Drosophila melanogaster: one gene and its partners. The protein of the gene in region 1 interacts with the protein of each later gene in a pairwise test. Each region holds a gene or a part of one and is shown in the gene's direction. Other genes may lie near its edges. The genes, in order: CG32461, Sas10 and CG31910.

What was found.
Region 2: the proteins of CG32461 (region 1) and Sas10 interact in a two-hybrid assay, tested with the Drosophila melanogaster proteins (one large-scale study listed by BioGRID).
Region 3: the proteins of CG32461 (region 1) and CG31910 interact in a two-hybrid assay, tested with the Drosophila melanogaster proteins (one large-scale study listed by BioGRID).

Annotation. Positions count from the first base shown.
Region 1 is NT_037436.4:22,953,879-22,957,130, reverse strand, and holds CG32461 (uncharacterized protein), read left to right. Parts: upstream 1-1,828; 5' UTR 1,829-1,845; coding exon 1,846-2,604; 3' UTR 2,605-2,710; downstream 2,711-3,252.
Region 2 is NC_004354.4:5,315,423-5,319,581, forward strand, and holds Sas10 (something about silencing 10), read left to right. Parts: upstream 1-1,986; 5' UTR 1,987-2,081; coding exon 2,082-3,368; 3' UTR 3,369-3,649; downstream 3,650-4,159. Other genes in the region: CG15930 (uncharacterized protein), read right to left, coding at 36-612, 679-764, 854-1,384, 1,450-1,614, 1,678-1,860; Rnp4F (RNA-binding protein 4F), read right to left, coding at 3,714-4,159. UniProt on the Drosophila melanogaster protein: Essential for gene silencing: has a role in the structure of silenced chromatin. May be involved in gene regulation during development. Binds RNA.
Region 3 is NT_033779.5:6,744,117-6,747,475, reverse strand, and holds CG31910 (uncharacterized protein), read left to right. Parts: upstream 1-1,853; 5' UTR 1,854-1,933; coding exon 1,934-2,313; intron 2,314-2,368; coding exon 2,369-2,777; 3' UTR 2,778-2,813; downstream 2,814-3,359.

The DNA of each region.
Region 1 (3,252 bases):
ATCGACACTACACTAGACGATTTTTAAAATCAAGAACGCCTACTTCAACAATGTTTAGCTACCCATAAATACGCCGATCGGAAATGGTTTTACACGAACGTCTCAAAGTCCGACACATCAACTACCTTTGTAGTAGTAGACTACTCCCCACTACTTCTCTCTTTTCACCGCCGAAGCAGTAGCCAATCGATTAAATTGACTCTTGAACTTAAGAAAGACATATCATCTGCAGTGACAGTCTGTCCACCCTGCAAGAAATCTAAAACCTCTACTACAACAACAAACTTTAATGTGAATTTAGTCACCTGTGCACAAAAAATATTAGCAAAATTAAGCTATTACGGGCCCCACGGTATAGGAATCAATGGAAACGAGTTAGTCGACAAAGCCGCAAAGCTAGCCGGTCGCGCCGTGCCCTACAATTATACCTGGAGTGCAACAGGACAGCTGGAAAAAACATCAAAAAGATATTGCCCGACATCGAATTGGAAAACTGATATAAACAATTCAGCAACAGAATCGTGCAACAGATGGGAATTTGCCATTCTTACTCGTCTAAAAACCGGACCCACACACTTTACACGGAAGGACATTCTCAACGGCGAAAGGCGACCAAGCTATATATTAGATATTATATATATTATATTATATAATTTAATAATATATCAACGTCGAAAGGCGACCAAGCTATATATTAGATATTATATATATTATATTATATACTAGATAAATGCAGACACCATCATAACCTAAGAACATATCTTTTCGGTCCCACCCCGCCCTCAAATATATTAGTTAGCCTAACATCAAATAATCTTAACCAAATATTATCTTTCTTAAACAAATGTTAGGTTATACACCAAATTTAACACAACCACCGATTTAATAGTAAGTCGAGTCGATGGCCACAGTAGCTAGTTATTCCTTTCTTTAGTTATTAATTATTATATACAAAATTTTTTTATGTAATACAATTTTAATACCCGTTACTCCTAGAGTAAAAGGGTACAGTAGATTCGTTAAAAATATGTAACAGGTAGAAGGAAGCGTTTCCGAATAAATATAATGTATATATATTCTTGATCAGGATCTGTCCGTCTGTCTGTCCGTCCGTATGAACGTCGAGATCTCAGGAACTATATGAGAGAGACATAGACGCAAAGCAAGTTTGTTGCCACGCCCACTCTAACGCCCTAAAACCGCCCAAAACTGCCACGCTTTTTAAAAATGTTTGGGTTGTTTTTCATAAATTTATTAGTCTTGTAAGTTTCTACCGATTTTTCTACTTTTTACCACGACCATTCTTACGTCCACAAACCGACCAAAATCGCCACGTCAAACTCCAATGTTCCCAAAAAATTATGAAATTTCTCGTTCATATTTCCACTCGCTGCGTAACGGGTATCTTCTAGTCGGGGAAGTCGTCTATAGCATTCCCTCTTTTTTAGTACATCTTTACCATGGACCGTCATGTTTTTGAGCACGGCTGTTTGTCGACCGTATAAGCGATGTGATCTCGGAACTTTAAAAGCTTGAAAGTTAGGACTAAGCATGCATATTTAACAGACGAAGACACAGCCCAAATTTCTTTCTGAAGATTGTCATTTCCATTCTGAGCTCTACTCTAAAAATATTAAATAAATAAATACTAAATGCGTACTGTTGTCAATGCTGTTAGAGACACTAGTAACATGCTACATCATAATACTATTATAAAATTGATATACGGAATACGTTCAGTAAGTATTCTACTCATTCATTCACTGTCAAAATAAAATTGCTTATATATTTCCTTAGCTTTATTCGAAAATATAAAGTGTCAATTTTCAGGAGTCTGCACAGATCATGGGTAGTATTAATAGTGAAGAGCAAAATGTCGCTGTATCCGGATGGACAAAATCCAATTCACCGGAATTAATTGAAGAGGAGCGACTTTACACCGAACTTGACTCGGAAGGTCGGATGATAAGCAGGACTATGACGCCATATGAGTGTCAGCTCGAAGGCGAAGTGGAGCAGTTGCAAGAGGCGCTTTTCAAAATCTCGTCCCATTATGCCAAAGTTCAGTTCGGACTGCGGCAAATATCCTTGGCTTCAGGTTCCGAGAGGGAAAATCTGTTAAAAGATTTGGAGCGATTAATAGCAAAAGGACTAGATGCGACTGGTCCCATACGGGGCGAAAAATTCTCCATGCCAGCCAAACTTCGCGTGAAGCAAGACAAGATTCTTTGCCAACTGCGTGGAAGTCTCGGAGACTTGGTCGGTGCAACTGGAGTTGGCTTTCACGCAAATCATTACCCGGCCACAAACAGATCTCTTAAGATTTATACAGGTGCTTCCAATAAGACTCCCCGCAGCAAAGGCGTCGGCCAGGATTGTGGTATAAGCCGAAGATGCATTGGTCATGCAAAGGAAGAAAGCAAACCTGCCACTGGATACATGAAACGCACCTGTGGTGATTTAAGTACGGAAAGCAAGATACACCTTTACCATACCAAGTCAGCCACTTATTCGAAGATTCGCGGTAATAGTAAAACAACGGAAGATGGAAAAACTCGTACAAACAATAATTATTTGGAGCTGTTAAAGTCGAATTTAATTTAAAAAAGATCAATAACAGCGTGTAATATTCACACATGAGAAGACAGCGATTTTAAAAACTGAAAAGTTAAATTTATATTTATTACCAAATAAAAAATGCTTAATACGTAATTATTGCGTTTTATTATTAAGATTTTACACTTTTTTTACACTGTAAGCCAAATAGAAACAAAAAGGAGTATGGTATAGTCGAGATTCCCGATTCAAAATTGTGGCCATTTTGTGTGTGTTAGAAGGGGCGTGGCCCAAGTGTACCAATAGAAAATGGCAAGACAAACAAAAAGCCGAAAAAAAAATTAAAGCAATTTATAAAGTGTGGGCGTGGAAGTTTTGAAAGGTTTGTACGCGTAAGAGTGGACATGGCAAAAAGTTTATTGGCAAATCAAAAATTATTAACATAAATAAAAAAACTTCAAAACATTTTCAAAAAGTGACATGTAAAAGGGGCATTACAGTTTTTGCCGGCTTGTGGCCGTTCGAGTGGCCATTGCAAAATTTGGAAATAAGCTTGCGCTGTCTCTGAAAACAGCATGTCTAATCTAAACTCAATAGATTTATGAGATCGCAACGATCATACAGACCGACATGGCCAGTTCGAATCGTCTATTGATCCTGACCAAGAATATATATTCATTATATAGTTAGAAACGC
Region 2 (4,159 bases), on another chromosome or scaffold:
GAAATGGATTCAGCGCCTTGGGCACATGGTAATCCCTATGGAACGAATGCGAAATCATCATCATCATCATCATCATCATCATAATCGTGCAGCGGCATAATTAGCGGCTCGACCATCCCAAAAGGCTGCAGTTCGGGCGCATAGCAACAGGACTCCAACTTGATCCGCGACTCGATTAGATCGTTGATGGTGGGCACAAAAGTTTCATCATACGATAGCCGCATAGAGAATATACCCTGAGCGGTATCCAGTTCGCCGACATGGGCATACAATACCCTATTGAATGTCATGCGCTGGAATGCGGTGATACCATTTTTTGGCCACCCATTGGCCAATGGGCGTACGTGCGACATTTTGCCGCGAAATACCAATGGCGGTGTGCGCGCAAAGCTTAGTGGGAGGAATCGTAGATGGTTCGGTGCCAATGTGACAGACAGGGCATGATCCACATACTCTATGTTCACACATTGGGCGTCCAACGGTGCGGTGACGAGCACCATGGCACGTCGCCAGCCACACTCGCTGTAGGCGGCGCATATGTAGCCCTCTTTATAGAAATAGCTAGGCAACTCGGCACGGTAGCTGCTGATCGTCGTATGGCGATAGAACCAGCTATGGGCATTAAATAACAATATTATCAATCAATCAGTCAATCAATCGATTTAGTTAGTAGCTTACTTTAGATCAATGGTCATCTCGGCTACAGGATTCTTGGCGTACTGCGGTGGCACAATGTGGAACCAGAACTCACACGGAGAGAACACCTGCGCAAGAAAAAAAAACAAAAAAAAAAAGATTGAACTCCTATTTCAAAGCTGTCTCTTTGCTTGGCACGGGACCAAAGCGCACTCACACAGCTCATGATGATCGGGAAGATAGAGTCCTCCTTGCAGATATCCTGGATACGCTGCGGCGGCAGCTTCCAGTGCATGCCAACGGCATCCATGGGCAGTCCATACATCAGTGCACACAAACTAACATCACCGATATCCGGGAAATCGGAAAACGACGGTATCAGTTCCTTGACAATGTAACCATCCGTCGTTTTTGATTCGAGTCCATCGCTGTCGCTATCGTTGTCCGATGTCGACGCTAGCAGTGTTTCCACTGACGCAGCAGCTTCTGCCACTTGGCTATTGCTATTCATGAAGTCAGCATTGCCGGTGTGCAGTTCATGCATCTTCATTGGGCCAGGATTGTTCATTGCCTGGCGCTCCGACACGGTGGCTAACAACTGCTCCAATGGCTTTCCATTCACCTGGACATCGGCTACATCCGGCGGCACAACGATGTTGCAAAGCATCTTATCGAAAATTCGCACATGGTGCTGGTCGTCAGTCTCAGCCGTCGGCTTGGAATCGGTTGTTTTTAACTCGAGAGCGATCTTTTAAGGGGCGAAAAACTTATTAGTAATTTCTACAATACATATATGTATATATTTCGACGCACATGTGCTTTTTCGAAAACTTTTTGCAAGTCACTCGAATCGGAAATCACAAGCCGTATTTTGGCATTGGGCTGGCGCAAATCGAGTGCTAATTCAATTGTTCCATTGATCTGCTGTTCAGAATTAGCCGGCTTCTTGGAATCGGTAGTTTTTTCCTCCAAAGCGATCTTTTAGAGGAAATTACTTATTAGTATTAACTAAGCATACATGTGTAATTTGAATTTACGTACATCTTCGACAACTTTTAGCATGTCACTCAAATCGGCTAACACTTTGTTATTCCGCATTTTGGCACTGGGGCAGCGCAAATCGAGCGGCACATCATTGTTATCCTCGGCTTCTTCCGAAATTTTTCTCAATTTCGAGAGCAAAGTTTGAAGTCTTCCTTCTTTGACGTCCATCTTGCTTTGCATCCTGATTTTAACTGAATTTCAATTGTGGAACTTTTCCCATGTGGCATCACCGCCGTAAGCTAGACGCTAGAGATGGCAAATGCGCCATCCGCGAAATCCACCACACCAATCGGTCATTGGCGGCTATCGAACGTGTTATCGAGCCGTTTGTTTACGCACGTGTTGTGTTTGATTTAATTTAGTTTTAATTTGTATTTAAACGCACAGAGAGCAGCTAGCAAATGGACAGCGACGGTGACGACTACGTGATGAGCGGCTCCGACCAGGAGTACGATGACGAGGAGCGCGAAATACTCGAAGATCTGCGCAAGCAGCGCAAAAAGCCACATGATCCCGTCCAGGAAGTGCTCGGTTTCAGTGATGATGACGACGACGACGACGACGACGACGAGGAGGAGCAGCAGGATGTGGCGGAACTGATGCGCGACAGTGACATCGAGGGCGCCGAAGACGATGACCGCGATCTGCCCAACACCATGGACTGGGGCAGCAAACGGAGCACGTACTACAACACCGACTTTGTGGACCAGGACTACAGCAGCTACAATGCCCAGGAGGAGGAGCAGGCACGCGCCGAGGAGGAGGAGGCCAAAAAGATCCAGCTGCGTCTGGCCAAGCGCATGAGCGAGGCCGATTTCCAGCTGGACAATGTAGAAGCAGCGCCCGCAGGCAGCAGTGATGACAACGAGCTGAGCCATATAACCAAAGTGACCAGCGATCTGGCCGGCCTATCAGAACGCGAGCGACGACAGCTGATGCACAGTGAGTCGCCGGAGTTCATCATTCTCACCCAGGATTTTCAACAGCATCTCGACGAGGTGAAGAACCTATTGAAACCGGTGCTCAACTACGTTCGCAAACACGATGTGCCCATGGTGCCGGCGCTGCAATATGCCGGACTCTGCCACACCGTGCTCACCACCTACTGCTCCAATGTGGCTTTCTATCTGCTGCTCAAGGCACGTCGCATCGACGTCAAGGCCCATCCGGTGATTAGGCGGCTGGTGCAACTCAAGGATCTGATCGAGGAGCTTAAGCCGCGCTACGAGGAATACATTCGACCGCAGCTGGAGGCGCTGCTGGAGAGGATTGAAGATGGCGATGCATTCACCGTGCTGGATGTGGCACAGCGCAAGGCTAAGCTGCAGATACTCAACAAGTACAACGATGGCCAGCAGGCGTCAGTGAGCTCCGATGATGATGATAATGATGACGATGACGATGCTGAGAGTAAGGAGAAGGATCTGCAAGAGGAGGCTGGTGAGGAGGAGGAAGAGGAGGATGCGCGACGCGGCATCACCTATCAGATGGCCAAGAACAAGGGCCTCACGCCGCACCGCAAAAAGGAGCTGCGCAATCCGCGCGTTAAGCATCGCGGCAAATACCGAAAGGCGCTCATCCGGCGCAAGGGAGCCGTGCGCACGGTGCGCAAGGAGCTGCAGCGCTACGGCGGCGAATTGTCCGGCATCAAGGCCGGCGTCACGAAGAGCGTCAAGTTCCGCACCTAGTTTTTATCCAATAAATCCGCCAAGATCATTACATTTTAATCAACTCGATGTTTGTACACTTGAAACACCCATTTCATCCAAAGACTCACCGGGGATTAGTCAACTAGCTGTCATATGCGAAACAAACAAACATTTTTCTTCACTTGGTTCATCAAGAAACCAATTTATATGAGTCGAAACAAAAATCATTGTCTTACAACAGTTTTTCTCTTTGTACAGTGTTCTCCAACCTTGTCTGTTTAGGTTGCCTTAAATCTAAAAAAATATATGCTCCAAATCTTCGTCTTCGTCTTACAAACTAAACCATGGCCGCTGGCACCGGGCTCAGCCGCCGGCATTTGTCGCCTAATCCTTGAGAAATAGCTTGCGAAAGTCATCGTTTGACTTGGGCACAGCAGCTGGCATCTCCTCTTCTTTTTTCTCATCTCCCTTTTGCTCCACTCCACTTTGCTCCTCTCCTATTTGATCATCTCCTTTTTGCTCCTCTCCTTTTGGCTCCTCTCCTTTTTGCTCCTCTCCTTTTTGCTCCTCTCCTTTTTGCTCATCTCGTTCTTGAACATCTCCTTTTTGCTCCTCTCCATTAGCCTCGCGCTTGATGGCCACGTCGACGGATGCCGAAGTGGATGATATGTCCCCCGGCTCGGGCAGAAGCAAGCGCAGCTTCTTGGCAGCCACCTCTTGGCGCACCAGAGTCGTGGGTATAAGCGAGGTGGGCACACGTCGCTTGGGCGCCACACTTGGCTTGACAGCTGATGTGCCCCTCGGCGGTGGGTTTGAAATGGCCACAGAGA
Region 3 (3,359 bases), on another chromosome or scaffold:
TCAATATCGTATATTTATATTATATTATTTTATAATCAGCAACAGCAGATACCCTATATATATATCATCAAATCTTTAATGTGATTATTATGAGTTTTTAAAAATTTCGAGCACATATTTTTATTGCGTGTCAATGGCAAAAAGCGCGTCACAAACGCACGGGGCACAGACTCAGTGGGCCGCAAAGACCTGTGCAGTGCGGCACAGCTACAGCTACAGATACAGATACATATATACTTTATCTCTCGGTTAGCCATAATATTTCTAGCGCCGACAGCCGACGGCACGACCTTGTCCCACGGCTCAACGCGTAGAAAGCGAAAGATGCGGATGGCAGGAATGATATAAACCACACCAGAGCACTGAGATGCATTATTAAGTGCATATTTTAATAAGAAATTATTTTCAAATTGGTAAAGTAATCAAAGTGAAGTGTAATTAGGTTTAAGTGTATTAAAGCTTAATGTCATTTTAATACTATTAACCAATCGTCCTTATTCTTAATTTGATTAGCTTGATAAGCCTAATTAGCCCACTTAGTGCAAATAACTACAAAAACGCACCTAAAACGATACATTTTTCAAATTTGGCCCTCTTAGTTGACTGCATTATTTTGTTTCCCTTTTTTCAATTATCGCGAAAGGTTCATTGCACCTTCGCCTCTTAATTGAACACAATCAAAAATATTTTGCAACCTCTCGCCCAGAATTAATTGCACATTAACAATTTGGTGTTGAGAAAACACATCTTGAGGGCGCACAAGAAGCACTTGTCTGATCCAAAATAGCCTAAACACATTACACCGAACAAGATATCGCGCATACGCCGCGTGTGCCGCTGTGGCAATTAAAAATTCCGAAATCGTAAACAACGCTCAGTCGTGATGTGCGAAATGTGGATATTTTGTTGAACATTTATTTGTAATATTTTCTTTCACAAAAAAATGTAATGTTTCGAGACAAAATTGCAGTATTGCAGAAGCCAGATTGGAAAGTTTTTAGAACGATCATTGTGGCTATAACATTTCACTTGAAGATATTTTTAAACATTTACCTTTCGCCTTACCATTTACATTTGACAGCCGTCAATATTTCCGACACATTTTTCCAATTAGAGCGCATTTCATACGCGTACACTTTTCGCACTCTGCACTCGCATGTTCCTATTGTTTATTTGAGTGATATTGAAAAATCGTTTGGAAACATTGCTCAAACATTGCTCATGAGTTCGAATTTCCTTCATATCGCAACAGATATATTAAATGTTTCACTGCCGGCAATTGGCTTCGCACTTCATTTATGATGCCCAACGAAATAAGAATACGGAAAAATTACGCATTTAACATGAAATCTATGCCAACGGATTTTCCTGTGTGTACGCTATATAAGTTGGTTGGCTCTCGGAAAAATCAGCAGCACTGCAGTATTTGGCTAATTTGATTTCCGTTCCAATGCATTCGAATGCCGAAAGTGCTCGAAAATCGAATCAATCAAAAGCTCCTTTTTGCCGCCCGACTGATTTCAATCGTATAAATATTATATTTAGTATATTTATATTTAACTATCACATGCTATTCATCGATTGCGAAGCTGATTTCTTTTTTACGTACATGTTTTTGGCAGACAAATCTTTTTTAAATTGGCCTAAGTGAAATATAAATCTTCATCTTTTCAACTGATCTTAATTAAAAGTGATTTTTCGTCAATACTCAGAGGATTCCCATTCGACCGATGCCAAACAAATTGGTTTAACCTTAGAGATCTAATAGGCCACTGACGAAAGAGATGAGCACCCAAATGGATGGGTAGTATTAGCCGAGACTAAATCATCTAGTCTGCCTTGAAGGCCGATCCATTATACGATTTTCTCAGACAGTCAGGCAGTTAGCACACACACACACACACACACCCAACACACGTAGTCTATAAACAAAATGGAACACAGAGTTGAATTGATGTTGGAACCCATAGTGGCGGGCAAGTTGGAGCGCAGATCGGATAACAGATCAAACAAGGTGGAGGATGAGGAGCCGCATCTAACCAAGCAGCTCAAGAAGCACTACGGGATTGAGGCAGAAGTTCTGGGTCTCCTTGTCAAGTTAGAGATGCGTTATAAGGAATACTACAATCTATACAAGTGCGAAATGAAGGCCCAAAAGATACTGGTTGAACGGATATGGCTGCTAACCCAGCGATATCTGATTCTAATCAGTTCAGAGCAGAGCTGTCGCTATCCCGAAGTGTACACCTTGTCCACCGAGGAGGCCATTATCAATGAATATGAGGAAAAATTGGAAGTGCTGCGAGCTTCAAAGTGAGTTGCATACAACTTGGCTTACGAAATTATTTACATTGCGCTTCTCTTTTAGCAACAAAATGAAAAACACCCTGTTGGAAATCAATCAGCAGTGCAAGGAGTTCTATGCCGCCTACGAAAGGCTGGACAAGGCCCAGGAAACGCCCTTCATCATGGGCGATAGCCATCATAGAAGCATCAAGTACCACAAGATCATGGCCGTCGACATATTCAACTATTTGTATGCAACAGTGCTGAAGCTCAAGTGCTTCATGCATCAGCTGGATCCCGTGAATCTGGAGAGTGTCGAGGAATACCGCGATCTGCTCCAAAACGAATCCGCCATGGAGGAGTTTGAGGAGTATCTTAACAATCAATTTGTCTACTGCAAGTGTATCTACCCGATTCCAACCTGCCCCATCTTGAAGCTGAAGTGTTCCCACCAAAACATAGCAAATTTAAAGTATGTCAGTCGCATCTAGTCAAGCCAAAATGTGCAATAAATAGAAGCCCTATTCAATGAAATTCGATTTATTGGCTAGTGATAGCTGTCCATCAACTAAACAACTAATCAATAATAATGAGTGTCCCATTAACATTTGTGGGGCTCTGCTCCCAATGAACAGAAGCCCTTCTGGTGATGCTAGATCGGGTCCCCCATCGGATCTTTAGTGGGTCAGCAGCTTGAGAAATCCGCCTGAGGATGCAGCACCTCGCTCGTGTGCAAGATGAAGTTATTTATCCGCTTAGCAACTCATCCAAAGAGTCCTTTTATAATACCGTTATCCACTCTAAATGCAACCCTGTCTACTAATGTAAAATAGAGAACCTGATCGAAACAGAGATAGATTTGAGCTAATCTGAAAATGAAAAGTTAAATTGACATGAGGGCCCAGAGACATTGCGAAAGTGACCTTTATTCAATTGCCACACTGTCATGGGCATAATGTGTTGCAGGGCCACGAAGGCAGGGTCACTTCTGTTATCAATGGTTTTATTCACCCCTGAACTTTCAGCAGCGCCAGCAAGAATACTTGTTCGAGGATGTTTCACGAGCTGAGCTG